5 linked regions of the Oryctolagus cuniculus genome follow. The protein of the gene in region 1 interacts with the protein of each later gene in a biochemical or structural test. Links are inferred from orthologs where the notes say so. Each region holds a gene or a part of one and is shown on either strand. Other genes may lie near its edges. The genes, in order: LCK, MAPT, PTPN6, PTPN22 and PTPRC.

The links.
Region 2: the proteins of LCK (region 1) and MAPT form a complex in vitro, tested with the Homo sapiens proteins (2 studies listed by BioGRID, with this or other methods). The link is inferred for Oryctolagus cuniculus from reciprocal best matches to the Homo sapiens genes LCK and MAPT.
Region 3: of the proteins of LCK (region 1) and PTPN6, one has a biochemical effect on the other in vitro, tested with the Homo sapiens proteins (4 studies listed by BioGRID and IntAct, with this or other methods). The link is inferred for Oryctolagus cuniculus from reciprocal best matches to the Homo sapiens genes LCK and PTPN6.
Region 4: of the proteins of LCK (region 1) and PTPN22, one has a biochemical effect on the other in vitro, tested with the Homo sapiens proteins (3 studies listed by IntAct, with this or other methods). The link is inferred for Oryctolagus cuniculus from reciprocal best matches to the Homo sapiens genes LCK and PTPN22.
Region 5: of the proteins of LCK (region 1) and PTPRC, one has a biochemical effect on the other in vitro, tested with the Homo sapiens proteins (5 studies listed by BioGRID and IntAct, with this or other methods). The link is inferred for Oryctolagus cuniculus from reciprocal best matches to the Homo sapiens genes LCK and PTPRC.

The regions. Positions count from the first base shown.
Region 1 is NC_091438.1:140,188,153-140,193,622, reverse strand, and holds the end of LCK (tyrosine-protein kinase Lck), read left to right. Parts: intron 1-2,505; coding exon 2,506-2,708; 3' UTR 2,709-3,139; downstream 3,140-5,470. UniProt on the Homo sapiens protein: Non-receptor tyrosine-protein kinase that plays an essential role in the selection and maturation of developing T-cells in the thymus and in the function of mature T-cells. Plays a key role in T-cell antigen receptor (TCR)-linked signal transduction pathways.
Region 2 is NC_091448.1:17,252,289-17,258,535, reverse strand, and holds part of MAPT (microtubule-associated protein tau), read left to right. Parts: intron 1-319; coding exon 320-406; intron 407-2,214; coding exon 2,215-2,280; intron 2,281-4,316; coding exon 4,317-5,288; intron 5,289-6,247. UniProt on the Homo sapiens protein: Promotes microtubule assembly and stability, and might be involved in the establishment and maintenance of neuronal polarity.
Region 3 is NC_091440.1:102,585,521-102,591,767, reverse strand, and holds part of PTPN6 (tyrosine-protein phosphatase non-receptor type 6), read left to right. Parts: exon of another isoform or gene 1-137; coding exon of another isoform or gene 138-145; intron 146-238; coding exon 239-361; intron 362-546; coding exon 547-741; intron 742-2,781; coding exon 2,782-2,971; intron 2,972-3,112; coding exon 3,113-3,229; intron 3,230-3,336; coding exon 3,337-3,450; intron 3,451-3,601; coding exon 3,602-3,698; intron 3,699-4,010; coding exon 4,011-4,090; intron 4,091-4,226; coding exon 4,227-4,376; intron 4,377-6,247. UniProt on the Homo sapiens protein: Tyrosine phosphatase enzyme that plays important roles in controlling immune signaling pathways and fundamental physiological processes such as hematopoiesis.
Region 4 is NC_091438.1:56,506,413-56,513,290, forward strand, and holds the start of PTPN22 (tyrosine-protein phosphatase non-receptor type 22), read left to right. Parts: upstream 1-3,010; 5' UTR 3,011-3,154; coding exon 3,155-3,241; intron 3,242-6,878. UniProt on the Homo sapiens protein: Acts as a negative regulator of T-cell receptor (TCR) signaling by direct dephosphorylation of the Src family kinases LCK and FYN, ITAMs of the TCRz/CD3 complex, as well as ZAP70, VAV, VCP and other key signaling molecules.
Region 5 is NC_091444.1:14,986,665-14,992,592, forward strand, and holds the end of PTPRC (receptor-type tyrosine-protein phosphatase C), read left to right. Parts: intron 1-481; coding exon 482-617; intron 618-2,011; coding exon 2,012-2,287; 3' UTR 2,288-3,912; downstream 3,913-5,928. UniProt on the Homo sapiens protein: Protein tyrosine-protein phosphatase required for T-cell activation through the antigen receptor. Acts as a positive regulator of T-cell coactivation upon binding to DPP4.

The sequences.
Region 1 (5,470 bases):
TCTGAAAACCAGATCTTTTGTGTTTCCAAGAGAGACCAAAACTTGGAGTTTTAGGAAAAGCTACTCATTTCCAAATATTGGTAATTGACTCAAGTTGTTTAAAAACACCATATGGGCATTAGGCCTACCAGTTAAGCCTTTAGTTAGGACACCTATGCCCCACATGAGAGTGCCTGGGTTCAAGTCCCGCTCCAGTTCCTGACTCCAGCTTACTAACTGTGGACAATGGGAGCAGCAGTGATGTCTCAAGTGGATGGGTCCCTGCCATCCACTGGGAGACCTGGATTGAGTTCCTGGCTTCCAGCTTTGGCCTGGCCTAGCCCTGGCCATTGTGGGCATTTGAGGAAATGAACCAGCATATGGGGAGGCTGTTTGTGTCTCTCTGTCTCCCTGATCTTGCAAATGAAACAAACAAATGGAAAATCAACTACCTGGTCCAAAGCAAGCTGGGCCATCTTCAAGCTGGGTTTAGCTGATGGTTGGCATCATTGACTCTCGTGTTTGGTTTCCTGGCTTACGTCTTCTACTTCCTGGATTTTAAAATGTGAGGAATCCAGAGATAGGAGCCATCCAAGGGCAAGGGCTGGGGAAGAGGAGTCTGTATTGACAAAGGTCTAGCCCCAAGCTTAGCAGGAGCCAAACTTCAGTGTATGTATTTTGCTGGGACCCTATAAGGGTTTGGCCTTTGAGATCTGTTTGTCACAGTCTTCTCTCAGGAGAGTGAAGAAAATGCAAGAGGATACATGGATAATTTTAAGATAGGGAACCGGGGTGGGCGATGTGGCCTGTGTCCCATATTGGAGTGCCAGTTTGAGTCCCAGTGACTTCACTTCTGACACAGCTGATGGCTCAAGAGCTTGGACTGCTACCATCAATGTGGGAGACCCAAATAGAGTTCTGGGCTCCTGGCTTTGGCCTGGCACAGCTCTGGCTGTTGCAGGCATTTTTTAAAATTTTATTTATTTATTTTTAAAGCTTCTCTCTGTCCCAGGGACAGCACTTTCTTTCTTTTCCTTTTCTTTTCTTTCTTTCCTAATTTTTTAAGGATTTTCTTTATTATTTGAGAGGTAGAGTTACAGACAGAGAGAGGGAGAGACAGACCGAAAAGTCTTCAATCCACTGGTTCACTTCCCAAATGGCCACAATGGCTGGAGCTGGGCTGATCCAAAGCCAAGAGCAAGGAGCTTCTTCCAGGTCTTCCACATGGGTGCAGGGGTTCAAGCACTTGGACCATCTTCCACTGCTTCCCCAGGCCAGAGCAAGGCGCTGGATTGGAAGAGGAGCAGCTGGGACATGAAATGGTGCCCATTTGGGTTGCCAGCGCTTCAGGCAGAGGCTTAGGCTACCCTGCCACGGTGCCGGCCCCCTGTTGCAGGCGTTTGTGGAGTGAACAAGCAGATGGAAGATATCTCTTTGCCTCTGAACCTCTGCCTTTCAAGTAGATGAACATAAACAAACATTTAAAAAGAATGAAATGAAAACAAGGAATTACATCCTTGCAATCCTCCAGAGAAGTTCTCCTGAGACAAGAAGCCTGCCTGGGGGAACAAGACCAGCACAAAAGGAGGGAACCAACCCAAAGACTATTTGGTCTGGGTCATGGAGGGGCCTGGTGATCCTTCTCAGTCCCAGGCAGAGCCTGCTTCTCTGGGCCTGGGCCCTTCTGTCTTCCTGACTCACATTTCATGTGCCTGGTCCCAGAGTGGGAGAAACCTCACCACTCTCCTGGCTGTGGGCTCCCATCCTGCCCTGGGTCCTGACCTACCTGTCATCATCATAATCACAATTTCCCTTGGTGAAGCAGCGCCTAACTGGGCCTTCATACACACTACCTCGTTCAGCCATCATAATGACTCTGGGAGGGAGGAGCAGCAGCTTACTCTGTGTTCCAGATAAGGAAATTCAGGCCCAAAGACATGAGGTTGGCAGGAGATGTGGGGGGAGCACGTTGTGGCACAGTGGGTTAAGCTACTGCTTGGGATACCCACATCCCAAATCAGAGTCCCACTTTGAGTCCCAGCTCCTCTATATCCAATCCAGCTTCCTGCTAACGCACCTGGGAGGCATCAGATAATGGCCCAAGTACCCTGGGGAGAAGGATGGAGTTCCTAGCTCCTGGTTTTGGCCTGGCCCAGCCCTGAGTGTTGTGGGCATTTAGGAAGTGAACCAGCAGATGGAAGATCCCGCTCTCTGTTTCTCCCCCTCCCCTCCGCCTTTCAATTAAATAAACAAATCCCATTTTTTTATTTAAAAAAGAGGTAAGGTTGCTGTCCATGGACCCACAGCTAAAATGTGCGTGCTAATTGAGTGTTTGAGCTGTATTAGGTAGTCAGGTGGTGTGAATGACATCAGCAGGTGCTGCCAGCATGGCTTTACCATTGAAGAAGACCAAAATCCTTTTGAACTGGTGCTCGGACTCTGCCAGTTACAGGTTCTAAACATCACCCTTGGCTGTGGGCTTCGAAATTCTAAAGCCTTGATGTCCTTTCTCCCATCAACCTCCAGGGATGACTAATCCTGAAGTGATCCAGAACCTGGAGCGGGGCTACCGCATGGTGCGCCCTGAGAACTGCCCAGAGGAGCTGTACCACCTCATGAAGCTGTGCTGGAAAGAGCGCCCAGAGGACCGGCCCACCTTTGACTACCTGCGCAGCGTGCTGGAGGACTTCTTCACGGCCACAGAGGGCCAGTACCAGCCCCAGCCTTGAGAAGGCCCTTCCCCTTCATGCCAGCCTGGCTTGGGGAGATGGAGTTCTTGTGCCAAAACCACATGGCCTATGCATATATGGACTCTGCACATGAGTCCTGCCCACGTGCAACACATATGTATCTTGTGCTTGTACATACATCCCGAGTTGCATGGGTTTTGCACATGTGTCTTGTACATGTGTAGCCTATGCATGGATGCCTTCGACACTGTCCAAGGTGTGTCTTTCTAAGCACTCCTACTTCCTGATACCACAGAGACAGGAGAGAGTCTTGTGATTGACACCAGCTTCTGCCTGCCCACTTGTCTTTGCCCAAGCCCTCCAGAAGCTCCTTCAGGGTTAGGACCTTATCTAATACCTCTGTGTGCTCCTTGTCGGTGCCTGGCACCTGTTAGGGGCTCAATAAATGTCTGTTGATGAAGGTGATGCAACTCTCTGCTGTGCACTCCGTATCTCTTTCTTGGGGGGGGGGGTGGTAAATGGGAGGTCACATGATAGAAACTGGGTCACCCCAGGGTTGGGGTGTTGTGCAGTGTATTAAGCTGCTGCTTGGGACACCCACATCTGGGCTCCTCCATTTCCCTTCTAGCTTCCTGCTAATGCACCTGGAAGTCCTTAGATCCCTGCTACCCATGTAGAAGACCTGAATGGAGTTTCTGGCTCCTGACTGCAGCCTAGCCCAGCCTAGGCTATTGTAGGAGTTTGTGGAGTGAGCCAGTGGATGAAAGATCTCTTCTCTTTTTGTATCTCCCCCTCTCTCTCTGTCACTCTTTCAAATAGATAGATACATCTTTTTTTAAGATTTATTTATTTATTTATCTATTTGAAAGTCAGAGTTACACAGAAAAAGAAGGAGAGGCAGAGAGAGCTTCCATCCGCTGGTTCATGCCCCAGTTGGCTGTGATGGCCAGAACTGCGCCGATCTGAAGCCAGGAGCCAGGAGCGTCTTCTGGGTCTCCCATGCCGGTGCAGGGGCTCAAGGACTTGGGCCATCATCCACTGCTTTCCCAGGCCATAGCAGAGAGCTGGATCGAAAGAGGAGCAGCCGGGACTAGAACCGGCGCCCATATGGGATGCCAGCACTGCAGGCGGCAGCTTTACCCGCTACCCCACAGTGCAGGCCTGATAAATAAATCTTAAAGCAAACAAGACACCAAACTGGACACGCTGAGTCACGGTGACAGATGGAATGAGCAGATGTCCGAAAGTCTGCTGGCCCTGGTGATTGACGCTGGGGCCAAGAGGAGGTCCCTTTAGCTCTACCACCAGGACTCTGCATGCCCCTTCAAATACTACAGTGCTCCTCACTGCCTCCTGGGAGTGGGTGTGTCACATGACCCCACGATGTGAGGTCAATGGCATTTTTTTAATAGCTACTGATTCAAGGATTGTTTCTGACCTGGGATATATTTTGATTCACCTTCAAGATGTTATAAAATATTGAATTAATTCACTCATTTAACAAATTTTTTTTTTTTTTACTTTTTTGAGAGGCAAAGTGGACAGTGAGAGAGAGAGACAAAGAGAAAGGTCTTCCTTTGCCGTTGGTTCACCCTCCAATGGCTGCTGTGGCCCGCACATTGCGCTGATCTGAAACCAGGAGCCAGGTGCTTCTCCTGGTCTCCCATGTGGGTGCAGGGCCCAAGGACTTGGGCCATCCTCCACTGCACTCCTGGGCCATAGCAGAGAGCTAGCCTGGGAGAGGGGCAACCGGGACGGAATCCAGTACCGGGACTAGAACCCGGTGTGCTGGCGCCGCAAGGTGGAGGATTAGCCTACTGAGCCATGGCGCAGGCCTCATTTAACAAATGTTTATTGAACATTTATCATGTGCCAGGCATTGTTTGAGGCCCACAGGCTATCTAGTGGATAAAGCACACACAAATTTCTGCCCTTCTTCTTACATTCTAGTAAGGGGAGACAAAGACATCACAAAGAAGTGGATCATGGTAATATTGTACACTACAAGGTGACAGGTGCTAAGGGAAAATGTGAGGGGAGTTAGGAATGTCATACTTAGGAGAGATTTGCGTGTGTACAGAAGGTTGTCAGGGAAGGTATCTCTGAGGAGGGGACTTCAGCAAAGATTTGAAGGTGAGGGAATTGAACTCCCTGCTGTGGAGGAGGGATAGTCAGCCAGAAGCAGCAGCCTGATGCACGAGCTTGCCTGGACTGCTTTGAGAGACGATGCAGGCCTGAGAAAGGGGAACAGACTTCGGGGCTGTGTCCTCTGCAGAAGCCACTTAAGATGTCTGTTTCGGGGCTGGAGCTGTGGTGCAGCGAGTTAAAGCCTTGGTCTTCAGCACCGGCATCCCATATGGGCTCCTGTTGGTGTCCCGGCTGCTCCACTTCCATCCAGCTCTCTGCTATGGCCTGGGAGAGCAGTACAAGGTAGGTCCAAGTGCTTGGGCCCCTGCACCCGCGTGGGAGACCCAGAAGAAGCTCCTGGTTTCTGGCTTTGGATCAGCACAGTCCTAGCTGTTGCAGCCATTTGGATAGTGAACCATTGGAAGGAAGACCTCTCTCTGTCTCTCTCTCTATGTAACTCTTTCAAATAAATAAAATAAATCTTAAAAAATAAAATATTTATTTATTTGAAAGGAAAGAGAGAGAGAGAGAGAATCCATCTGCAGGTTCCTTCTTCAAATTGAGTACCAGTTCGAGTCCAGCTATTCTGCTTCTGACCCAGCTCCCTGCTGATGCACCTGGAAAAACAGCGGAGAATAGTTCAAGTTCCAGAACGGAGTTCCTGACTCCTGGCT
Region 2 (6,247 bases), on another chromosome or scaffold:
CTGTCACTTTGCAGATGTGGAAACTGAGGCCCAGAGAGGCCAAAAGGCCCGCTCACGGCCTCCCAGTAAAACCACAGGCCCCACCCGCGCCTTGCACCGCCTGGTCCCAGTCCTGCCTTCCTGCACGGCTTGAAAGCAGGGACAGCTGCGGGCGACCCCCGGGACCTCGGGGCCCCTCCGCCGGCTCTGCCCGCCCGCGCGCGGCCGTGGGCTGGTGCTTTCCCCGCATGCGGACGGGGCCTGCTGCCCGCGCGCGCTGCCCCTGCTGCCCCTGCACGAGCCCCCGGCGCCGCCCTAAGCCGCTCTCGGTGGTTTCCAGACGTGACAGCGCCCCTAGTGGATGAGCGAGCCCCTGGCGAGCAGGCCGCCGCCCAGCCCGACGCGGACATCCCCGAAGGAACCACAGGTGAGGGCGGTCCCCAGCGCCACCCGCCTGGGGCCCCCGGCTGCAACCCCCAGAAGGGTTCCTGCGGTGTCAGGGACGCGTCCCCAACGGTGCTCCCCGCAGCCACTGGGGAGGCCCACGGCCCCTGCTGTCACCCCCGCGGAGCCACCTCTGCTCTTCCAGTTCACGCACCAGGAGGTGTTCCCGGGCGGGGTGCGGGGGAGGGCGCTCTCCAAGGGCATCTGACGGCTGTGGAGGAGCCCGGTTCTGTCTCCCGCCGTCCTGCACGGCTGTTGGTGGGACGTTGGTCCCTGCCTGGGATGCAGGTCCTGGCGGAGTCTGGAGCCCACCGTTGCCCCAGGTCATCCCAAAGCCTCTGTAGTCCCAGAGCTGGGCCGGCGGAACACAACTTCCACACACGCCCTGCAGCTGTTTCAAGGCCACTCTCTTGTGTGGACTTTGTCTGATTCTTCTAGATTCTTGCCCCACCCATCCTGGCCTCCATCCACAGAGCCCTCGCTCTGCACTGTCCTCGCCGCAGAGCCGGCTGTGGATACCACTGGAGGGGCCCACACGCCCCCTCTCACCGGCTCTCACATCAGGTCCGCAGGGGACACACACAAGCCACATTCACCCATCCCACAGGGGACACAGCCTGGTGTCTGCAGGTGCCACCTGCTTGGACCAGCACCCCAGCCACCCCCTACTCCACACCCCTCTCTCCAGTGAATCTCCCCCAGAGCTGCTCCCGACCCCGCGTCCTCAGTGGGGTGGGGTGGGAGCCTGCGTACTGGGGTCAGCTCTCAGCCACAGTGGCGGCAGATCCCGTCCCGTCGGTGGTGCCCCCGTTGGGTCAGTGCGGCTGCCCGTGCGGCAGGCCTGCCTCGCTGGACAGCGGGGAGTGGCCCTCAGCCGTGCGCTGCCCAGCCGGAGCCGACCTTCCGCCTCCCTTCCTGTCTCCGAGCGCCCCTCACCGGGGCAGCAGCTTTCAATTGCAGGCCAGGCTGTGGCTCTTCCATGAAGGTGGGTTAGCTCTCCCCACCTCTTGGCAGGGACACAGGAATGCCACCATTTAGCTGGCCTTGCTGTCACCCCGCACCTCTCTCCTGTTCCTGTAACCTTGTTGGAAACTTGGTCCACACCCGCCAGGCACTGTGCTCTTGGGCACTTGGCCCAGCTTCTTCTTGGTGCTATTCTCAGATGCCCAGGCTGTCGCTGTCACCTTGTAGGCAGCACGGTGTTGGCTGCAGGGACCCCCAGGCAGGTCTTGCCCATGAGCCCACCCGCACCATGGCAGCCCCGGGACAGCCGCCAGGCTGGGCGTCCGTGCGGTCACTGTGTAGCTGTCTCGTGACTCAAAGACCCTTGCTTGTGCGTCATGCGTGCTCTCCGCCGAGGTGGTGGCCTGGCGCCTGTGTTTTAGCAGAGGTGGGGTCGTGGCAGGTGTGGGGGCCCAGCTGGCTGCCCCCCCACCACCACCACCTGCTGCAGCCACGGCCTCTCTCTCCCTGGACCCGCCACCTTCCCGGCACTCTGCGGGCCGGGCAGCAAAGCGTTCCTCTAACTGCGTGCATCCTGTGCGTCCTGGTGCAGTGAGGCCCGGACTGCAGGGAAGGCGCAGTCACCCGTCAGGTGCGCGGGTGTCATGGCTCGTGTCCGGTGAACCCTTGTCCCCGCCGTCCCCTGTGGTAACGTCTGCAGAGGAACCCAGGCTCGTAGGGCGCGCCCTCCCCGCGCGCTTTAGAAGTGTGCCGGAGGCCCGGGGCCTGCTGAGTGCAGTCAGTAACTCTCTCTGCTTTCGTCTCCTCACTTGCCGACGCGGGCACCAGCTGAAGAAGCCGGCGTGGGAGACACCCCCAACCTGGAAGACCAAGCTGCGGGACATGTGACTCAAGGTCAGTGTGCCACAGTCAAGGTCAGTGCGCCACAGGTGCCGGCGCAGCCGGGGGCTGGGAGCAGGGCAGAGGGAGCACTGGGGGGTAGGGAGGAGTCTGCTCGTTCCAAGGTGTTCAGTGTCCTGCGGGAAGCTGGCCCTGCCCGGGCAGGGAGCTGAGAAGGAGTGGCCGCGGTGAGGCGAGTGTGAGTGCCCACAGGTCTGTCCCCGAGCAGCACCTCCTCCGCGTGGTCACTGCCCAGGCCTGGTCCTGTGCGGCCTCCAGACCATCATCCGGGTCTCTTCTGTGTTCCAGAAAAGCGGGTTTTCTGTAACCATTTGTCACAGGCATTTCCAGACCTTTGGAAGTCTGAGAGCCTCCCGGGTTTAGGACATGGAGAGGTCAGAAAGAGATGGCCCTTGGGCTGGGTCTGTTCCCTGTCACCTGCCGGGCAGATGACCTTGGCCATCTCGCGGACAGTGTGGAAGCTTCCGGTGGCAGCGGAGCTGGGAAGACGCTGCTTACTCCGGAGAGTGCTAGGGATGTGCCGGCGTGCCCGGCGTGGAGGCCGCTCCTGGGCTATCTGGCTGTAGGAGGCGCTGCACCCACAGAGGGGTCCCAGGGGGTATGTTGAGGCTCAGTCTCCACCCCTGCTCCCAGAGGGGTCACTGCCCTCTGTGGGCTCATGGTTCTCTCGGCTGACATGTGAAGGCAGAGTGCTTTAAAAACGTTCTTAGGGTGTGAGTCCCTCAGGGGTCCCCGTCTGTGTGAGATTCTAGAATCCCGACTCCCGCTTCCTTGAGGTCGGGTTTTGAGCTTCGGTGAAAGTGGAGACCTCGTAAATATAACCTCTAGAAGTGGTCGCCTGTGCCCGGGTCTTAAAGAAGGGGAAGCGTTTTTCCCACAGATCTTTATTTATTGGAAAGGCAGAGAGACAGAGACAAAACACAGACGGACAGAGACCTTCTAATTGCTGGTCCACTCCCCCGGCCCCTGTGACAGCTGGGCTTGTGCCAGCCCACAGCCAGGAGGACTCAGGTCAGCCCGGGAGCTGGGCCTGGGGCAAGGGCAGAGGTGAAGCCGAGCTGAGGCGGCCTCCCCGCGGTGCCTGTGGCCCAACCGACTCCCGCGGGGTCCCCATGTCGCCCGTGTGTCCACGGCTGCGCCCGAGTGTTCTCCCACCTCTCCCTCATGTCTGAGCCCCTCCCTGCAAGTGCCTGAATCCTCTGGGGTCCAGGTCTGGCCTAGAGGCGAGCTGGGCAGGAGGACGGGTAGTCTCTTGGTAGCAGGTGAGATTCTGAGAGCTGGAGGCAGGAGAAATGCAGGTGGCTCAGTAGGGAAACTGAACCGCACAGGTCGCCTGTCCCTAACACACAGGTGGCGCTTGTTTGCGTGAGAAAGCTGGAGCCGGCTAGGTGGGCGTGCCGCGATGGTTTGGCCGGTCAGACCTGGCCCGGGATCTGCCCCACGCCGGGCCGTGCCAGCCTCGCGAGTGTGCTCCTGTTGGAAGGAATCCAACCGTGGCCAGTCCATTAATGGCCATCTTTGATCCTCACGCAGCTTGGAGCATCCAGTCTCCCAGAGCAGGCTCCGGGCATGGTGGGCAGCAGTGAGAGAGAGAGGGTGGAGAAGGGACCCGCCAGGTCCATGCAGGCGCCTCGGGGGACGCAGGTGCTCTGGGCTGGGGAGCAGCTCCTCTGGTGCCAGGGCACGGGGCACAGGGCAGCTCCAGAGATGGTGACGTCCCTGTGCCCAGCACAGGAGTGATGCCCATGCCGGAAGGGGCCTGGGAGGTCCCCAGGGCCGAGGTGAGGAACTGAGGCCCCGCAGAGGGGCAGTGCTCACGCAGTCACACAGGAAGTTGGTGGCAGGTGGACCCCTCATTGGTGCTGGCCTTTCAAGCACACAAGACCCCTGGATAAGCCCAGGGAGGGGCTCCTGCTTTGTTAGGCTGCGCTGTTTAAAACGCCCTTTCCCACGTCGCAGTCGGGTCCCCTCTCTTAAACACTGCACATGCCCTCGCTAACCTTGGACCACTGCTGCCTCTTCAAATCCAGAGGCGCTGAGAGTTGCCAGCTGGCAGAGGGCAGCACCTGGGCAGCCTGTGGGCCAGAAGCAGCCAGAAGCCTCGGCTGAGTTGGTCACACCCCTTCCTGAGCAGCATCCCGTCTTCCCAGAACCTCCTCCACCAGGAGGCCCTCAGGAGCTCCGCCAAGAGTGGGGACCAACACATGGGGACCTGGCCAAGGAGGGCCTGGCCTTTCCGAAGCCTGTGTCCCCCGGATCTCTGCAGAAGGGGCCTGAGATCATCAAGGCCCAGGAAAGCCTGGGCAGGGAGCTGGGGCTCCAAGGAGGCCAGGCCTCGGACCCAGGGCCCCCCAGCCTGATCTGCCAGGACGTGCCTGCCCTGTCTGGGACTCCCCTTCTGCCTGAAGGGCCCAGAGAGGCCGCACACCAGCCCCCAGGGCCAGGACCCGTGGCTGCCGAGGGAAGCCCTGAGCTGCTGGCGTGCCCGGAGGGGCACCAGGGCAAAGAGAGGCCTGGCGGCCCGGAAGAGGTGGATGAGGACCAGGACATCGATGAGTCCTCCCCGCAGGAGTCACCCCCCTCCCAGGTGTCTCCAGGCCGAGGTGGGCCACCCCCCGGGACCCCGGGGCTCCCCGCCGGCGGTGCCGTGCCACTCCCTGTCGACTTCCTCTCCAAAGTTGCCACAGAGACCCAGGCCTGGGTGCCCGTGGGGTGCAGCCCGGCCCCCCCGGGGCTGCTGGCAGCAGAGCCCGAGGCGCCCCCTGAGCTCCCCCTGCATGGGGAGATCACAGCCTGTGTGCAGCACCAGGAGCAGGAGCTGGCACACTCCAAGCCGGATTTGGAAGGGACTGCACTGCCGGGGGGCCCTGGAGAGAAGCAAGAGGCCCAGGGCCCCTCTTTGGGACGGGACACACAAGAGGCTGGTCTTCCGGAACCGTCTAGAAAGCACCCCGCAGCTGGTCTGCCCGGGAGGCCCGTCAGCCGGGTCCCGCAGCTCAAAGGTCTGTGTCTTGAGCACCCTTGCTCCCTCCCCGGTGCCTCCTGTGGCTGCCCAGGCTGTGGGCACTGCCCCCGAGCGCCGATGTCGGCCGGCCCGAGGCTCTTGGTAGCACGCGCTGCTCTCACGCTTGCCCGCCCATCTGCATGTCACCGACCCCATCTGGCGCTTTCTGCCCTCTCCCATTCTCTGGCCACTCGACTGACCCAGCACGGCCCCGCTGCCCGTGACAGAGGGTGGTGCTGCCCAAATCTCCGTGTGCCTCGGATTTGTGGGCATTATGCGTCCCATTTCACAGATGAGGGAACCTAGGCTCAGAGACGCAGTGCAGGTTGCCTAAGGTCACAGAGCAGTGACCAAGCTGACTTCGAAGTCCAGGAAGGGGTGATCTGAAACCCTCTCCACTCCCTGCCCCGCCTTCCCTCCCGCCAGGGATGCAGGGGGCACTGGCCTGGCGGCCGCCAGTCTCCTCAGTGGACAGCACACACACACCGCTAATGCCCCGCCCCCACCCCGCGCTGGGCAGCGGAAGCGCTGTCCTCCTGGTGGGCAGAGCCTCGGGGAGACCCCTGGCTGCTGGCGGCTCTCAGGGGCTGGGGAGGTGGGAGGGGAGGAGAGGCCATGCTTCTGTTGCTGGAGGCAGCCTGGCCTCAGGGCAGGCGCAGGGGCTGAGACCCGGGCATTGTAGGCTCCGTGCAGGGCCCGGGGATGGATGCTTCTTGGCGCTCAGGGCTGCAAACAAGCTGAAGGCAGAAAAGCCAAGTCTGTATCCCACTTCACATATCGAGACGGCAGGGGACAGAAAAGCGTGGCTTGAGAGTTGACTCCAGCGGTTCCTGAAATATCCGGCTGCACATCGCGCGCTGGGCGGGGGTGGGGGTGGGGCCTGGTTCCGCACTCAGGAGCCTGGGAACAAGGCAAAGCAAGTTAAGCAGGCTTGGCTGCGGCAGGACCTGCCAGGGC
Region 3 (6,247 bases), on another chromosome or scaffold:
CGCACCGTGGGGTGGGTGGTGAGGCGGCCGGGCGCTTGGAGCCCAGTTTGAGCCTTAGCTCCAGAGTGCTCCGCCGGCCTGTGTGAGGCTGCCCTCCTTCCTTCCCTGCTGCCCCTTGCTTTCCGGAAGCCCCCAGGATGGTGAGGTAAGCGCTGGGAGCTGCGGTCAGAGGGTGGGAGATGGGGGTGCTCTGGGGCGGCCGAGGGACCTCTCCTCACCACCCTGCCCGGCCTTCCAGGTGGTTCCACCGGGACCTCAGTGGGCTGGACGCAGAGACCCTGCTCAAGGGCCGAGGCGTCCATGGCAGCTTCCTGGCTCGGCCCAGTCGCAAGAACCAGGGAGACTTCTCCCTGTCTGTCAGGTAGGTGGTCCCAGCGACGCTGCACTGGCCTAGGCCCCTGGAGCCCTCATTCCCTGCTCCCCTGGCCCCGTGCCTCTGCTGTGTCCTTGTCCCACCCCCACCCCGTCCCCCACACCTGCGCAGGCCCCCTCCCCATGGGTTCCCCGGGGGGCCAGACGCCTGGCCTCACGGCTGGTGCCCTGCAGGGTCGGGGACCAGGTGACCCACATTCGGATCCAGAACTCTGGGGATTTCTACGACCTGTATGGAGGGGAGAAGTTCGCCACGCTGACGGAGCTGGTGGAGTACTACACACAGCAGCAGGGCGTGCTGCAGGACCGTGACGGCACCATCATCCACCTCAAGTACCCGCTCAACTGCTCCGACCCCACTAGCGAGAGGTGAGGGCCCTGCAGCCGGCCCCTTTGGCCCGCCCCGGCTCAGGCCTCTGGGCTCCGCTTCTCCCTCTTATGCTGCAGCCTTGCCCTTCACCGGGGTCCTCCTGGTGGCAGGAAGCCGCCCCTCGTGGCGGCCGAGCCCATTGTTAGAAAGCTTCCCTTCTGTGGAACTGAATCTGCCTGCTTATGACCCGGGCCCCTACAGGCGAGCTGTGTGAGCTGGGCTCCGGGCAACCCAGTGAGAGGGGGTCTAGCCCATGGGGTCCCCACAGAGGTAATGGGAAGCAGGTGGTATGGGGTCCTGGAAGGACAGGGCCCTGCACTGTGCTCAAGGCCGACCCCCAGAACAGGGCTGGCTCCTCCCCAGAGCGTGAACCTCACCCAAGGGCCCCAGGGGCTCACCCTGGCCCTATCTCCAAGACAGAGCCTGCTGTGGGCTGCCTAGGGTTGTTTTTTTTTTTTTTTTTTTTTTTTTTTTCATCCTGACTCCTGTTGAAATGCTTCTGCACCTTGCCCCTGTCAGTTTTCAGTCCTTCTGAGATTCATGCCACCAAACCTGTGTCAGTATTTTGGCCCAAGTGACTGGTTCAAACCTAGCAGTGGACAGGGCCGGGGTGGACACGAAGCCCTGGAGAGTGGCTTCCTGGAGGGACGCCTCAGCAGGGCCGCCTGCTCCCTTGGCCTCTCCCTCCCCACCCACAGCTTGCCCCTGTGGTTCCTTCTGCCCCTTTCTCCTCACCTCAAGCCTGGATGGCCCTGCTGGAGGAGACCTTAGGGCTGCCGTGGGTTGTGGATGGCGCTGGAGAGGGGAGCTGAGCAGCCCCTGGGGAGAGGGCTGGGGGCCTGGGTTCACCGGGCGTGGGAGAAGCAGGAGGGGAGGGAAGGCAGTGCTGAGGTGGGGACCCTCTTGGGTCACCCAAGCTGAGAGGCCTGGGTCTCACCCCTGACCCCAGGAACCTGCGAGAGGCCCTGTCTGCAGGCTTCTGAAACCTCTGCCCCCTCTTTGGCCAAGGCCTCCTCTTCCGGCATTTGCATTTGTCCCCTGGATGGCTGTGTCCCTGTCTGTGGTCAGCCTCACATTTGCATGGAGACTTCCTCATCCTGGGGCCCAGGGAAGGGGGCTCGCCCCCTCCCCATTGCCTGGGGGCCCTGGGCTGCCCCTGGGTGGTGGTAGGGAGGGGTGGCTTGGGGGCTCATGGGCGGGGTGGGGGACTCTAGGGGGCCTCTGAGCTGGAGTCTTCCCCAGGGAGGGGGTGGGGGGAAGAGGGGACATGCTGGGGACAGGCCGGCCCCTCCCTCCTTCCCCCATCCCTGCGGTTGGAAAATGCCCCCCTTCCCCTGGTGCCGGCTGAGGAAACCTCACTTCTCACTCTCTCCCCAGAAGGAGTTGGTGTTTTTTCCATCACGTGGTTTCCTGTGGGGCTGGGCATCGCGGGGCTATGGTTTCCTCCTGGGAAGGGGGTATACTTCGGGGAAAGGTCTTAGTTCTGTTTTCTGCCCCCTTGCGTCCCTGTGAACCCCGACCTCCCTTTTGGTGACATCATGCTGAGCACCCAGAGCCCCCTAAACCACTGTGTCCCTAGTGGGGCTGTGTCCCCCGCTCCCTGCCCGGTCTCCCCCCTGAGTTCCCCCACTCAGTCTGCATGTCTTTGTCTCTGCTGCCTTTCCCTAGCCCAGACCCCTCCTCCGGAGACTCACCCCTGGTTTCTCCACGGAGCCCCAGTAGTGCCTGCCTCTCCTCTGTCTTGAGTTCTCAGATGGGCTCTGGGTCCAAAGCCTGGCTAGAACTCTTGAGGCTGCCTCTTACCAGTCAGAGGTCTTGGGCCGGTGTGCGGCTGCTCAGCCTCAGTTTCTGCACCTGTCAAGTGGGATCCCAGCACATTTCTGTGAGAGAGCAATGGATCTCAATCCTCAATGTGGTGGACTTGCAAGCATCCAGCTCAGTGCCTGGCACGTCGTGGGCAGTCTGTGAATGCCTCTGCCTGCCCGGGGCCTTTTCCCCGTGACCTGGGTCTCATCTGCCCTGATGCTGCTTCCCTCTAGATGGTACCACGGCCACATGTCTGGAGGGCAGGCAGAGACGCTGCTGCAGGCCAAGGGCGAGCCCTGGACGTTTCTGGTGCGTGAGAGTCTCAGCCAGCCTGGAGATTTTGTGCTGTCGGTGCTCAGCGACCAGCTCAAGAGTGGCCCTGGCTCCCCGCTCAGGGTCACCCACATCAAGGTCATGTGCGAGGTAGGCAGCTGGGCGGGGGCGGGGGGGGGGGGGGCTTGTGTGAGTTCCTGTCCGTGCCCGCAGCGTGGGCGGCGGGGCGGGTCTGCTGGGGCTCAGGTCCGAGGCTTCGGGTCCAGGGATGGCCTTGCTCGGCACCCTCAGGGTGGACGCTACACGGTGGGCGGTCCCGACACCTTTGACAGCCTCACGGACCTGGTGGAGCATTTCAAGAAGACGGGGATTGAGGAGGCCTCTGGTGCCTTCGTCTATCTGCGGCAGGTAAGCACATGGGCCCGGCTGCCTGCTGCCTGCCCCTGAGCCCTCGCGCCTGCGCATGAGCTTCTGAGACCTCCGAGTGGCTGACATATCGCCTTCCCTGACCCCAGCCATACTACGCCACGCGGGTGAACGCAGCCGACATTGAGAGCCGGGTCTTGGAGCTGAACAAGAAGAAGGAGTCGGAGGACTCGGCCAAAGCTGGCTTTTGGGAGGAGTTTGAGGTGCGCGCTGGGCCTCTGCAGGGCTGGGACGGCCGAGGCCTTCGGCGGCCAGCGTGTGGGGTCCCGGGTGGCCACCTTCCTGGCCCCAGGTCTTGTCTGCCCGTGGGTGCCCTCGTAGGGGGGCTGCTCAAGCTCCTCTCTCCCCTTGCAGAGCCTGCAGAAGCAGGAGGTAAAGAACTTGCACCAGCGGCTGGAAGGGCAGCGGCCAGAGAACAAGAGCAAGAACCGCTACAAGAACATTCTCCCTTGTGAGCACCCAGACAGCCCCGCCCCGCTGCGCAGGGTCTACACCCTCCCATTCCCTCCAGGAAGCCACCCCTGCCTCCAAAAGCCCCGACTCCTCCCAGTGGAACCCCCACCCCCACCCTGTGCCCGCAGCCAACAGGCAGTTGCCGCCTGCTCTCACCAAACTCCTCCTTCTCAATCCTCTACCCCACCGCCCCACACAGATCCCCTGCAGCCCACTGTGAGCCTCATGGCTTTTGAGACCAGAATGCCTGACCTGTTAGCGTAGGCAGGGTCTGACCAGGCCGCCTTGCTTCCCCTCTGCCCACTCCCAGTTGACCACAGCCGAGTGATCCTACAGGGCAGGGACAGTAACATCCCTGGGTCCGACTACATCAATGCCAACTATGTCAAGGTCAGTGTGGCAGGTCCCATGGGAAGCCCTGGGGACACAGAGACCCTCGGGTGGAAGAGGGTGGCCGTGGTCGAGGCCTGTCCCAGGCTGCTGAGAGGCTCATGGTCCTGGGGCTGTCTTCTCTGCTTGCATCCAGAACCAGCTGCTAGGCCCCGATGAGAACACTAAGACCTATATCGCCAGCCAGGGCTGCCTGGAGGCCACGGTCAATGACTTCTGGCAGATGGCCTGGCAGGAGAACACCCGTGTCATCGTCATGACCACCCGCGAGGTGGAGAAAGGCCGGGTAAGGCTGAGGCCCCATTGTTCACCACCGAAACAAAGAAACTGAAGATGCCAGGGCAGAAAGGGACCTTAGGGGGTGAGGGTTTAACCCCTGCTGGGAGGAGGGGTGGCAACGCTGTGACGCAGTAGGTTAACCCTCCGCCTGTGGTGCTGGCATCCTATATGGGTGCTGGTTCTAGTCCTGGCTGCTCCTCTTCTGATCCAGCTCTCTGCCATGGCCTGGGTAAGCAGTGGAAGATGGCCCACGCAGGTGCAGGGGCCCAAGGACTTGGGCCATCTTCTACTGCTTTCCCAGGCCATAGCAGAGAGCTGTATTGGAAGTAGAGCAGCCAGGACTAGAACTGGTACCCATATAGGCTGCCGGCACTGCAGGTGGGGCTCAGCTATGCCACAGCGCCAGCCCCAAGCCCCATGTTTTAAACTGTCCTTCCCCTTACCGTGTTTGGAAGCAAAGCTTACTGCTGCCCATTCCCCATGTGTCCCCCTGCAGGCCCCTCTTGTTCTGTCTCATAAATGGCTCTGGAGCCCACCCCTTACTCTCTGGGCTCGCCCTTCCATGGCACCTCCTGTCCTGCAGCCAAAGTGACCCTGCCCAAAGCACACAAACTTGACCCCATGGCTTCCTCTCTGGAAACCCTCTAGTGGCTCCCAGCTGCCCTCCACCTGAGTTTTCAGTGTAAGGCTGGCACCCGTGGCACCCACCATCTCCCGTGGGTCAGGCTCTTCAGGCTTCTGTGGCTTTGCCCAAACTCATTTTATTCTCTCCCCATACTGTCTCTGTCTTGTCTTTCTTTCTTTCTTTCTTTCTTTCTTTCTTTCTTTCTTTCTTTCTTTCTTTCTTTCTTTCTTTCTTTCTTTCTTTCTTTCTTTCTTATTTACTCATTAGGGTCGGTGCTGTGGCCTAGTGGGTAAAGCTGCCGCTTGAGGTGCCGGCATCCCATGTGGGGGCCGGTTTGAGTCTGGCTGCTCCACTTCTAGTCTGGCTCTCTGCTATGGCCTGGGAGAGCAGTAGAGGATGGCCTGAGTCCTTGGGCTCCTACACCCACGTGGGAGACATGGAGGAAGCTCTTGGCTCCTGGCTTTGGGTCAGTGTAGCTCTGGCCGTTGTGGCCAATTGAGGAGTGAACCAGCAGATGGAAGACTCTCTCTCTCTGCCTCTCCTTCTCTCTCTGTATAGCTCTGACTTTCAAATGAATAAATAAATCTATTTTTTCTTTAAAAAAAAAAAAAGGTTTACTTATTTATTTTTTGAAAGGCAGGGTTACAGAGAGGCAGAGGCAGAGAGAGAGAGGTCCTCCATCTGCTGGCTCACTGCACAGATGGCCGTAATGGCTGGAGTTGGGTTGATCCAAAGTCAGGAGCCAGGAACCCCCTCTGGGACCCCAAGCGGGTGCAGGGGCCCAAGGACTTGGGCCATCCTCTACTGCTCTCCCAGGCCATAGCAGAGAGCTGGATCAGAAGTGGAGCAGCCTAGACTTGAACTGGCGCCCACAGGGATGCTGGCACTGCGGGTGGTGGCTCTACCCACTGTGTCACAGTGCCAGGCCCTCTGCCTCATTTTTGAAGACCAGCTCAAGTGCTGCCTCCTCTGTGAAGCCTCTCTGATTGCCTCCAGAGCCCAGGGGGGAAATTAGCCCCTTCTAGTGTGTTCTGTTTGTTCTAATTTTCCCTGCTCCCCAGTCCTTCTTGAGCTTCCGAGGTGCAGGGCACAGGTGGGGTCTCCTTTATATTTGTAACCTGCATTGACGTTTATTCTCCCAATTGTACGTGGCTGCTCAGGTCTCACCGTGTTGTCTGAGCCAAGACCAGATCCTAGGTGGCCCGACCGACCGCCAGCTCCAATCCCTGGGCCTCATTCCCCACCTCTACCCG
Region 4 (6,878 bases), about 84 Mb from region 1:
CTCTGTTTTCTATGAAAGTAAGACCATTGTAAAGGAATAATGAGATGACTTTATCCCTTGTTTTCCCAAACATAGAAAATCATTTTCCTTTTAGCAGTGTGCTTTCCAACTTTGCAAATAAGCGAATTAGTTGGGAATGTTTTTCTTTCGATCCATGATCAAGTCTGTAGCTTTAGTTCTGAGATGTTTTATTAACTGGTTAAGGATGTTTCTCACCTGTTCTGGCTTGCTCTCTATTTTATACCCAGCCCCTAATATAGTGCTTAGCATTTAGTAGGTGCTCAGTACATTTGTTGAACACTCATTAATTTTTGTGTTTTTTTTTAAAGAGTAATAATAGTAATTTTTAGAGGCATCCTTAATACCATCACACTCACACAATCAGTTCTTTTTTTTGCATCATTTGGTCTTTATCTAACTGTGTACATAAGTTTACATGGTTTCAGTTTGTTTGAACTTGAAATTTTATATTTTAGGGGGGATGCATAGTGGGTGAGGCTGCTGTCTGCAACATCAGCATCCCATATGGGTGCTGGTTTGTGTCCCAGCTATTCCACTTCTGATCCAGCTCCCTGCTGGTGGCCAGAAAAAGCAGTGGAAGATAGCCCAAGTGTTTGTGGCCATCTGGGAGTGAACCAGTGGATGGAAGATTTCTCTCTCTCTGTGTAACTCTGACTTTCAAAAAATAAATTTTTTTAAAAATAAAATTTTCCTATATTTCATGTGTTTTAGAATAATCAAATGAAACATTTAATCATTTAAAGCAGCAAGAAATTCTCTAAAGCTACATGGTGATAATTTGAGAAATATTGTCCTGTTCCCTCCAAAAACGTTGCTGAAGAATTATGGTTTATTTTAATTTGCATAGGCTGGAATTGAAATTACTTTCTTGGAATATTGACTCCAAATTGCCTATAGTCCGAATACCTCACTGACCTTCTCTTCTTGTTGTGGAGCTCAATGAAAAGGATGCAGGCCCCTTAGGGCTTGGAATAGCCTTCAGACACAGGATTTCCTGAAAGGAGTTGGATAATGTTGCAAAGCAGAAAAGACTGCTGATATTTTAGATACAATACATTTCCCTCTTTTCTTCAATATTATTTCAGATTCATTTTATTAACATCTTTTTTTAAGATTTATTTATTTATTTGAAAGTCATAGTTACACAGAAAGAGGAGAGACAGAAAGAGAGAAAGAGAGAGAGGGAGAGAGAGAGAGGTCCTTCATCTGCTGGTTCACTCCCTAGTTGGCTGCAATGTTTGGAACTATGCCAATCCAAAGCCAGGAGCTGGGAGCTCCATCTAGATCGACCACACGAGTGCAGGGGCCCAAAGACTTGGGCCATCTTCCACTGCTTTCCCAGGCCATAGCTGAGAGCTGGATCAGAAGTAGAGCAGCTGAGACTTGAACTGGCGCCCATATGGGATGCCGGCATCGCAGGCGGCAGCTCCACTAGCTACGCCATAGCGCCGGCGCCATTAACATCTTATGTCTTGGGGCTGGTGCTATGGCTTAGTAAGTTAAGCCTCTGCCTGCAGTGCCAGCATCCCATATGGGTGCCACTTTGAGTCCCAGCTGCTCCACTTGCCATCCGGCTCTCTGCTATGGCCTGGGAGAGCAGTGGAGGATGGCCCAAATGCTTGGGCTCCTGCACCCACGTGGGAGACCTGGAAGAAGCTCCTGGCTGCTGGCTTCAGATCCACCAGCTGCAGCTGTAGCAGCCATTGGGGGAGTGAACCAGCAGATGGAAGACCTCTCTCTGTGTCTCTCCCTCTCTCTAACTCTGCTTCTCAAATAAACAAGTAAATAAATCTTTTTTAAAAAATTTATACTTCTTGAACTTCTGCCCTCGGGCAAACATGATATTCCAGTTTTGCATGTTTGTTTGTTTGTTTTAAAGATTTACTTATTTTACCTGAAAGTCACAGTTACACAGAGAGATAGGGAGAGGCAGAGAGAGAGAGAGAGAGAGAGAGAGACAGAGAGAGAAGTCTTCCATCTGCTGGTTCACTCCCCAGATGGCCACAATGGCTGGAGCTGCACCAATCTGAAGCCAGGAGCCAGGAGCTTCTTCCGGGTCTCCCACGTGGGTGCAGGGGCCCAAGGATGTGGGCCATTTTCTGCTGCTTTCCCAGGCCATAGCAGAGAGCTGGATCAGAAGTGCAGCAGCCAGGTCACAAACCGGCGCCCATATGGGATGCCAACACTGCAGGTGGCAGCTTTACCTGCTACGCCACAGCGCCGGCCCTGGGTTTGGGTGTTCTCACCCTGACCTGGACACGAGTGGGGTTGTCTGCATTGATGAGGGAGCTCGCGCAGACAGAACTACATAGGCCTTTTCCACAGCAGCCTGCTTGTCGGCCGAAACACCGCATGCCCACTGTAGCTTTTCCAAGACAGTGGCTGCAAAGTGCAAGTGTCTTCAGGTTTTCTGCCCTAAAGGCTACACTGTTGTCAGGAGGTGGCTGTGGCTGACTGTCCTCTCTTTTTTTCCTTTACAGTTTGCCAGCTGCCTTTGGTTCATCCAAAAAGAGAATCTGAGTTCCATAGGGCAGATGAAAAGGTTCTGGATAGAAACGTCTTCTCTAATGAACACGTGGCCACTGCTCACGGTGATGAGAGACCCTGGGGGTGCAGTCCCCACTCCACCCAGCGCCTGTCTCCTCTTCCCGGCCCAAGCGAACTTGGAGTTTTTTCGCGGCCATGAGGAAGCAAGGTGTCACCGAGCCCTGGAGAGCCGGGAGAGGCAGCCCTCCTGGATGAGAGCCGCCATTCTGCCTTCGGGAAGCAAGCCCAGGGGTGAATGTTGCTTCATCCAGGATGATGGCGCCGAGGCCTCATGAGAGCCCCCATTTGACGTTCCGCTCAGCTTCTGTTTTGTGAAAAACTTGAACGGCACCCGGGGTTCGTTTGTGGAGAAGGAAGGCGCTAGGGCCCCCGGGAGTGCGAAGTCGGCGTGGTTCTGTGACCACAGAGGCCGGTTGCGTACTAATTTCCTCCAGAGCTTGCGATGCAGTCAGTAAAACCACAGCCTGCAGCACGCTCGGCTCGGCGGCAGCAGCGGCGGCGTGCCGGGAAGGGGGTCTCGGCCATGACACACATCTGACATGCCCTCCCCCAGGCCCCTCGGAGACGGTTTCTCTCGCTCTGCAGCATGGACCAGAGAGAAGCTCTGCAGAAGTTCCTGCACGAGGCCCAAAGCAAGAAAATCCACAAAGAGGAATTGGCCGATGAGTTTCTGGTGAGTGCCGTGTGTGCGGCTCTCGGGGCTCGGCACACACTCTTTGCTGGAGTAGGTCTCTCCAACTCCACTAGACCAGCCTGCATGGGACAGAGGGTCAGGTCTAAAGGGGACGAAGGAAACTTAGAATAGAAGGTTGACTTTCCTGAGTGGTGTGTGTGTGTGTGTGTGTGTGTGTGTGTGTTAGGGATTTTCTCAAAACTACTGGCTTTGATATTTTCTGGTTAGCTGTTCGGTTTGACCAAGAATCCTACAGAAGACATATAAAACTGTAGATGTATAAATGCTCTTGTTACAGCACTCTGTGAATTCCCCAGGACCTGCCTTGTGCTGTATGCTTCAACTTGCTGATTCTAATTAAGACTCAGAGGAGACAGACTGAGATGAACTTCAAGGAACAACACGTTTTTTGAGTCTCCCCAGGGGATTCTGTTTGGATGACACAGGGTTTTGAAGAGCATCGAAACTACCCACTGTCACGTTGCCTTTTTTCTTTTCCCTACTAAATAATAATAATAATAATAATAGTAATATCAGAGCACGTGGTTTTGCAACAGGCTTTCCCTAACTTTTTCTGGTTGGAGAGGTGGAACCGGCAGGGTGGAGAGGATAAGACAGCAGAGGACATGGAGAGAAGACAGATGGCTTCGGGTCAGGAGACTTTGAGTGGCAGCCGGGTAGGCCCCATTCACCCCATACTCTGGCACGTCAGGCAACACAGGGTGCCTGATATCCCATGTATTTTGGAATACTTCCGTCTGGTGTTTTAGAGGCATAAGAAATGTAAACCTGAACTCTTCAGCTATGAAGAAGTGGAAGACTCAGGAGAAGTGAAATGTAAAACCTGGAATTAAATCGTAATTCTGTCACCAAACAGATTATTCCCTATTTGGCATGTTCTCTAATCTCCCTAGAAGTTTCTGGTTTCTGGCTTCCAGGATGAAGAGAATACTATGTGTCTTAGCTATCCTTGCAGGTGATTAAATATCAATATCAATAGTAACAGTAATGGCAACAGTTAAATGTGCTTATCGCTCAGTTGTATTTTTGGAGCACCTACTATGTACCAAGTCCAATTCTAGGCATTGGGGATACGGTATAAGATGATACAGAATAAGATGAACAGACCTTCGCCCTCATGGAGCTGCCATTCTAGGACTAAGGAGCAGAAGTAAAATCACTCTGTGATGTCTCAAGCAACTAGAACTTATACATGAGTGTCATCATCATGTAGGAAACCCCTCTGCCAGCTCAGCTTGGATAATAACATGGCCTCATGAAAAATGTGCTCTCAGTGCCGCTGGCCAGGCGGGCCGAGACCCTCTGGGTAGATTTGCCAGAGAAGAAAGGAGGAGGCCAGAGAAGAAAGGAGGAGGCAGGCCTGGCCCATGTCAGGTGCCTGCCCTTGGACCGGAATTCCTGGGCTAAATTCATCCAAGGCATAAAAACAGACAGTGGGCCCTGTCTTGTTTGGGTTGTGTTATTAGTAGTAGTGTATCGCACCCCTAACAGTTTACCTTTTCTTACTTCTGGTCATTGTACTCGTTCACCAGATTCTAGCAGCCAACTCTTAACAGATTTTCCTGCCTCCAGATTTGCCCCACTGGGGTCTGCTATCTGCTCCACACCCAATGATCTTTCAGTAATACAAGTCTGGTCCTTCTTTCCCCTACTTAAAAATCTTTCTCTTTCTCTTTCTCTCACTCTCTCTCTCTCTCTCAAAATTTATGTATTTACTTTAAAGTCAGAGTTACACAGAGAAAGGAGAGGCAGAGACAGAGAGAGGTCTTCCATCCACTGGTTCACTTCCCATTGGCTGCAACGGCCTGAGCTGTGCCTACAGGAAGCAAGGAGCCAGGAGCTTCTTCCGGGTCTCCCACGCGTGTGCAGGGGCCCAAGGACGTGGGCCATCTTCTACTGCTTTCCCAGGCCACAGCAGAGAGCTGGATCAGAACTGGGATGCCAGCACTGCAGGCAGCAGCTTTATCTGCTATGCCACAGTGCCGGTCCCTTAAAAAACTCTTTATTGTTTGTGGTTTTTTTTTTTTTTTTTTTTTTTTTTTTTTTAAGCCACTTAAAGTTGTGAGATCTAACACACTTTTAGAAAAGCACATAAATCATGTGAGTATAATTGCAAAACAGCCATCAGCACAGCTGGCACTCAGGTCAAGGGCCTGCAAAAGTTTGTGGAAAAAAAATTAAACAGTAAGTTTGCTTTGAGGCAAAAAAAAAAAAAAAAAAAAAAAAGTTGCAGGGGCCGGTGCTGTAGCACATTAGGTTAATTCTCTTTCTGCAGCACCAGTATCCCATATGGGTGGCAGTTCAAGTCCTGGTTGCTCCTCTTCCAATCCAGCTCTCTGCTGTGGCCTGGGATAGCAGTAGAAGATGGTCCAAGTCCTTGGACCCCTGCATCCATGTGGGAGGAAGCTAAAGAAGCTCCTTGCTCCTGGCTTTGGATTGACTCAGCTCTGGCCATTGCAGCCATTTGGGGAGTGAACCAGTAGTTGGAAGACCTTTCTCTCTGTCTCTCCCTCTCACTGCTTGTAACTCTACCTCTCAAATAAAGAAATAAATAAAAATTACATAGAAGAACACTGTCAGATCCCAGAAATCCAGGGTAAATCCCTTCCCCATCCCCCACTCCTGCTCCACCCTGTCCTGTTCTTCCCCAGGGATATTCACCATGCTGACTTCTAGATTAATCACTTCCTTGCTTTTCTAGCTCCTGATGTTAAGGCCCTTGTTTTAGGAAGATGATTAAGTGGAATCTCACTGTTCACTGACTCATGTCCTCCAATGGAAAAGAGTCTTGCCCTCCCTCAGCCCCACCTAACGGTTCAGCTGAGACACCAGAGGGCTAGATTTGGGGGAACAGAGGGGTGGTAGACAGGGCCAAATGGTGTGCTGGGGCAAGGTGGACACAGCCATGTGAGGGCTTTCTACCTCGTCACGTCCATAGCCTACCTAAGCTCTTTTTTTTTTTTTTTTTTTTTTTTTGACAGGCAGAGTGGACAGTGAGAGAGAGAGACAGAGAGAAAGGTCTTCCTTTGCCGTTGGTTCACCCTCCAATGGCCGCCGGGGCTGGCGCACCGCGCTGATCTGAATGCAGGAGCCAGGTGCTTCTCCTGGTCTCCCATGGGGTGCAGGGCCCAAGTACTTGGGCCATCCTCCACTGCACTCCCCGGGCCACAGCAGAGAGCTGGCCTGGAAGAGGGGCAACCGGGACAGAATCCGGCACCCTGACTGGGACTAGAACCTGGTATGCTGGCGCCACAAGGCGGAGGATTAGCCTAGTGAGCTGCGGCGCCGGCCCCTACCTAAGCTCTTAAGATATTTTCCCAGGGTTTGATGTTCCTGAGGCTGGAGGACTGATTCCATGACCCAAAGGCCAATGGCTGGCCTAGATGGTGGTGCCTTGGTGTGAATCATCAAAAGGCATCTTGTGTGCACTTTAAGGTGCATTTTTTGTTTGCTGTCACTGCCAGAATAAATATGCCACATCACATTCTCAATCTCTCTCTCTCTCTCTCTCTCTCTATATATATATATATATGCCACTCAAATAAACACAACAAATAAATAAATTTGAAAGAGAGAGAGGGTTCCGATGTGTTGGTTCACTCTCTAAAGGCCTGCA
Region 5 (5,928 bases), on another chromosome or scaffold:
TCACTTTTCTCCTGATGTGGAAGAGAAACATTTTTAAAAGTGGTTAAGAGGCATAGACAAATGAATTAGAAGAAGCCTGCCATCTAGTAATTTACAAACATAAAGTCTAATACTTCTGGTCCCATCAGTAACTAGCTATTCCTCTATCCTCGCTAAATCTTAGTTCTCTAATCTATCAAATTGGCGGTACGATATTGAGCCTAACTATTTCAGATGTCAATAAGAGTGCACTAAAATCCATAAAGCACTAAATAGAAGAGTTGCAAAGTATTTTCCAAGCTACAGGATTGTCACAGTCTTGGATTGAAAAGGTGTTGCCCCAAGACAGCATTTAACAGCTATAACTCAGAGACTGGAATAAAATAATTAGAATAACCTTGACATAAATATGCATTCATCCCCTGTCTTTTACTTGCTGTTCTAATATTACTCTATTAAAAGTAGAATTGCTTTTTTTCTCTTTTGCTTTTCCTTCTTATAGAGATGGATCTCAACAAACAGGAATATTTTGTGCTTTGTTGAATCTCATGGAAAGTGCAGAAACAGAAGAGGTAGTAGATGTTTTCCAAGTAGTGAAATCTCTGCGCAAGGCTAGGTCAGGAATGGTTTCCACATATGTGAGTATACCTTGCCTTTTCTTTTTAACATGCGTAGTATCTTTAATTTGAGGGTCTTCTCCTCTCCATCCCCTTCCCCACCCCTCCCTCTCCTCTCCTTCTCTTTTTGGTTCTTCTTTTCTCCCTTCTATTTTACATAATAATTCACATTGGATTATTTTCACTATAAGGGACCAACTTGAATTTTGCCAGCAATTTGATGTTACAATTCATGAAGAATGTTTCCTTAAATCCTGATGGATTTGCCTTAATTTCTCCACGTTTAATCCTGTGTAAATTTGTGTCACTGCTTAACAAATGACCTCCAAAATGTGGCGGCTTAAACAAGTGACATTACTTCCTGGGTCAGTAGTTTGTTGTTCTGCTGGGTTGCTGACCTGACTCCTTGGGCTTAGCCAATCAAGACAGACTGTCTCAATCAGCTGCGTCCAGGGAGTGGACCGCTGTTGTCTGCTGGTCTGACTCCAGTGCCACGCAGGCTGGCAGTTGGATGCGGTAACAAGGTGAGTGGACCACGTGTCCCTCTTCATCCAGAAGATGAGCCCACATAAAAGTAACAGTGTTCCAAGGAGGAGCTCGGACCCGCCCTTGTCTCTTGAGACTCAGGCTTGGCGATGAGACAGCGTGTCTTCTTCTACCTTTTATTAAACCCAGCAAATCGCAAGGCCAGTTCAGATTCAAGGGCTGGGAAAACAGACTCCACCTCCTGTCTCCAGGGCCTGGGGTCACACTGAAAAGAGAAATGGACACAGGGAGGATAATGCATTGGTAGAATCAGTCTATCTTTGCGTCCTTTCTGGGTGGTGGCAACTCTAAGCCATCATCTGGGAATTATGAAGATTTCAATCATGAACGATATTGAGTGTCTGTAGACAGATTTTAAAATACATTGAATGTCTACTATGTGCTCTTGGCATGAGGGCACTCACTAGTGCGGGGGAGAGCCAGATATTTGTTAAACAATGTAATGAGTAAAGTGCCAGAGAAATTTTAAGAAGGTGAATGAGGACATTTTATTTAACCGGGAGAAACAGGATGGGCTTCTTGCAACAGGTGGTTCTTAAATTATGTGTAGACATTGACCTAGAGGATGAGCACAAAAATGGCACCATGGGCAAAAACCTGGGACTGAGATAGATGTCATTCTGTGTGCTGAGGGAGTGACACCAGTTTGGTGTTGCTGTAAGGCACATTTTGAAAGGTCCCCTGCTGTTGATCTTTTAGAACGGTAAGGAAATTAATCCATCTGGAATGTTCCTTATGAGAAGGTATCACAGTACTTCTCCATCACCCTGGGCTTCCACAGTAAATGATTTGTTCTTGCTCATTTTTATCTGACACAACAGAATCAAGTCAACTTTCTTCATGTAATTTTTGGCTGCTTTCTTTACTAGGAGCAATATCAATTCCTGTATGACATTATTGCCAGCAACTACCCTGCCCAGAATGGACAAGTAAAGAAAAGCAACAATCAAGATGATAAAATCCAATTTGATAATGAGGTGGACCAGGCAAAGCAGGATGTGAATTGTGTTAGTTCACGAGGTGCCCCAGATACGACCCATGAAGGAAACAAAGAGGCTGAAAGTCCTGAGCCCACGAGTGGCCCTGAGGAACCAGAACATTCTGCCAATGGCCCTGCAAGCCCTGCCTTAACTCAGAATGCATAAGGAAGAGACATAGATGGAGCCACTCAAAACCTCCTATAAGATGTGATTCTATTTTCCTAGAAGTAGGAGAGGGAAATAGGTACACAGTGGAATAGTGAAGTACATTGGACTGATGTGTGCAGGAAGCTTGCTTTACTACCGTTCAAAAATATTTAAGATAGTTTTTGCTAAGATGTTTTGTACAGTTTTATGCTTACTTTTAAATTTTATCTGTCATTCAGCAAAACCATTTCTATGTAGTCTATGTGTGTGTGTGTGTGTATGTGTGATAGAGAGAGAGAGAGAGAGAGAGAGAGAAAGAGAAGCAGAAAGAGTGAGAGAAACTTTCAAGTGAATCCAAGTGCTTTTGAGAAACTTTGCCTTTCTTTTTTCTTGAAGAAAAAACACATATATAAAGTGTTAACTTAGCTTGAAGGATTTATTTTTTAAAATCAGAAATTGCAAGTGCACTCAGTGTAAGAATAACAACATGTACATTTCTGGAATGACCTCAAGATGTCCTCCTTGTTCAATTCATATATACTGTAATGTTTACCATCATACTTCCAGAAAGAGTGCACTAAAGTGCTATGTGTGAATATGGCTACTATGAAAAATTAAGTAAGGTAACATTTGGAAATCTTATGCTCCATATGTTAGCTTTGAGTTCAATAACTTTTTAAGTATATTTAATCTAATTTAAAAACTCAATTGACCTATCTTGCTATCATCTCCTGGTGTCTACAACCCTCCACAAGGATTATTCTCTGTACAAATATGAAATTCATTGCTTGATTCTTTTGATGAAAAATTATATTTGATACATAAGTTTGAACTTAAATAAATATCTTTAAAATAAATACATGCACTATATGCTGGAATTCATAGGATAAAAATAAAAGCATGAAAACATATTTGTGCCAAGTATTTTGCATATTAAGCCTAATATAGGTATTTTTATGGAATTCAACATTGATGTGAGAAATATAATATTGCATATGTGTATTTCTCATGTTAAAGTTGTCCTTGTCTTTGTTAGAATGCATTTACTTCAAATTTTTCAAATGCTTAGACTACTTTACCAGGAATTAATATCAATTATCGTAGTAAAATCAATTATCTTTTCTTGTTTATGGTATACAAGGTATGTTACATGTTATTATGTGAAATAGTGTATTCCTGTTAAAATATAAGTTTAGTGCAATTAATGATATTTGCAGAATAATTTTGCAGGTCCAATTTTATTTTAAAAGATTTGTTTATTTGAAAGAAAGAGTTACAGAGATCAGGAGAGAGAAATGAGAGATCTTCCATCTACTGTTTCACTCATCATTTGGTTGCCACTACTGGGGCTGGGCCAGGCCAAAGCCAGGAGCCAGGAGCTTCATCAGGGTCTCCCACGTGCTCAGCACTTGGACCATCTTCCACAGCTTTCCTGGGTGCACTAGCAGGGAGCTGGATCTGAAGTGGAACAGCTGGAACTCAAACCGGTGCTTAACCCTCTGTGCCACGATGCTGGCCCTCCAGTTTTCTGAAAGACCCAAAATCTAATCATTGTTTAGGATCTTGGCGGGGGGTGGGGGAGACACCCAAGAAAGAACAGTGATAATTTCCAAGAAGTAATAAAAGTGACTCCTTTTGGTGAATTCTGTGTCAGCTTATTAAGTTGGTGACCTAACATTCTCTAGGTTGGTCTTTTTTTTTTTTTTTTTTAATCTCTTCGGCGTTCTTGCTGATTTTAAATGTCTTCACTATACAGCACCGATTGCTGTATGTAGGACTCATATTTTGTGTTCCTGCTTCTAATGCTTTTATTACTATAAAATACAATTGGCAATTAATCCTTAGGATAGTCTGTGGTTCCTTGCCTTTATTTAATAGATTAAACGAAGTGAATTTTCAGTGAAGCAACACCTTCTTATTTATATTAAGGTTACTTACTATGTACTTATTAATGAGAAGGGGGAATGAGAGTTGTCCAAAAATGGGCATCAGAACTCAAATGCGTCTTGCTTTCTGTTCTTTTTTTTTTTAAGATTACCTTTTGTTTTAAATTTCTTTTTAGATTTATTTATTTATTTGAAAGGCAGTTACAGAGAGGCAGAGGAAGAGAGCGAGAGAGTGAGAGAGCGAGAGAGAGAGAGGTCTTCCATCCACTGGTTCACTCCCCAGATGGCCACAACTGCCAGAGCCAGGAGCCCAGAGCCTCAGCCAGGTCTTCCTCGTGAGCCATCTTCCACCCCTTTCCCTGGCCATTAGCAGAGAGCCAGAAGGGAAATGGAGCAGCCAGGACTTGAACCGGCGCCCAATGGGATGCCGGCACTGCAGGCAGCGACTTAACCCGCGACACCACAGAGCCGGCCCCTTGCTTTCAATTCTGAAAGTCACTCAAACCTCTGTGCCTCATTTTCTCCTATTGAAACTTGATCTGCTGTCACGGATAGATGGCATCGCTATAATGTGCAGTTCCAATATTCAGTAGACACATATGATGGGTGTCTATTTTATCTGTGAATTGCTACAAAACACAAATAACAAACTTCTAGATTTTAAATAATCTATACTTTTTTTCAGAGGTTTCTAAATGTGGGTGTTGTGTGTTTTAAATGTGCATTAGCCATTTGAGACCACACTTTTACAGATGCAAGATCAATAGAGCCCCCAGAATTTCTATCCCTTTAGGGAGCAAGCAGAAAACATTCATTTTTCTTCTGCAAATGGAAGGCTGTGGAAAAGGGAGCATGGAAATGTGGAATTACATGTCTATGACTTTTATCATTAAAAAATTAAATAATATGTGAATTGGGTTGCATTCATAGGGAATCTGTCCCAAGATAGAAAGGATTTCTTTGCTAAGTTTACGCACTGCAACACCAAGTCAGAAAAATTCAGCAAAAAATTCCAACTTTAAAAATCCTGGCACATATTGAGGATAAAGTTCTGCATCCCATTTCAAAAAGTTCGCAGAAAATGAAATTAAAAGATTTGTTTCTGTGCAATTTTTTTTAAAAATCCATACATGGTTTTTTTTCATACTATGCATTTCCACAAACTTTTAAAAACCTCTTCATATGTTTACTGGGCAGAACAAGAATGCTAGGTTTCTGTGAAGTTTTGTTCCTTCCTAATACTAGAATTTATTGAGACTAAAAGACGTATTTGACAATCTGGTCTGTATTTCTGTGGAACTGTGGTCTCTCTATTTTTGCTTGAGCATTATGATTAGTCAGCATTAAGGCTGTAATTATACAGGTAATTATCTTATTGGCAAAATTAAAGGAAAAAAGGAAGGAATGAGGGGGTGTTGAAGAAGGTTAAGAAGTGAGGAAAAGTATGTTATCTTCTTAGAACTGCATCTATAAAATATTTCAAATTTGTTCTCTTAAATAAAAAAAATTTAAAAATTGAAAAAAATTAAAATTCAGCTCTCAGACCCATAATTTTGCAAGTAAGTGGCAAATACATAATTACAGAAAAGAGCACAGTATGTTAACATTTTCTCACATAATAAAGCTGTGTGAAGTTGACCAGAGGAGTGCCTTCACAACCACAGTCTTAAAAGTACAAGCGTCCTTCAGATTTCTAATACTTTTGCAAGTGAATTTCCCTGTCTGGGCTTGCTTTTCCCTTCACTAAAATGTCGACTATAAAGTTCATTATTT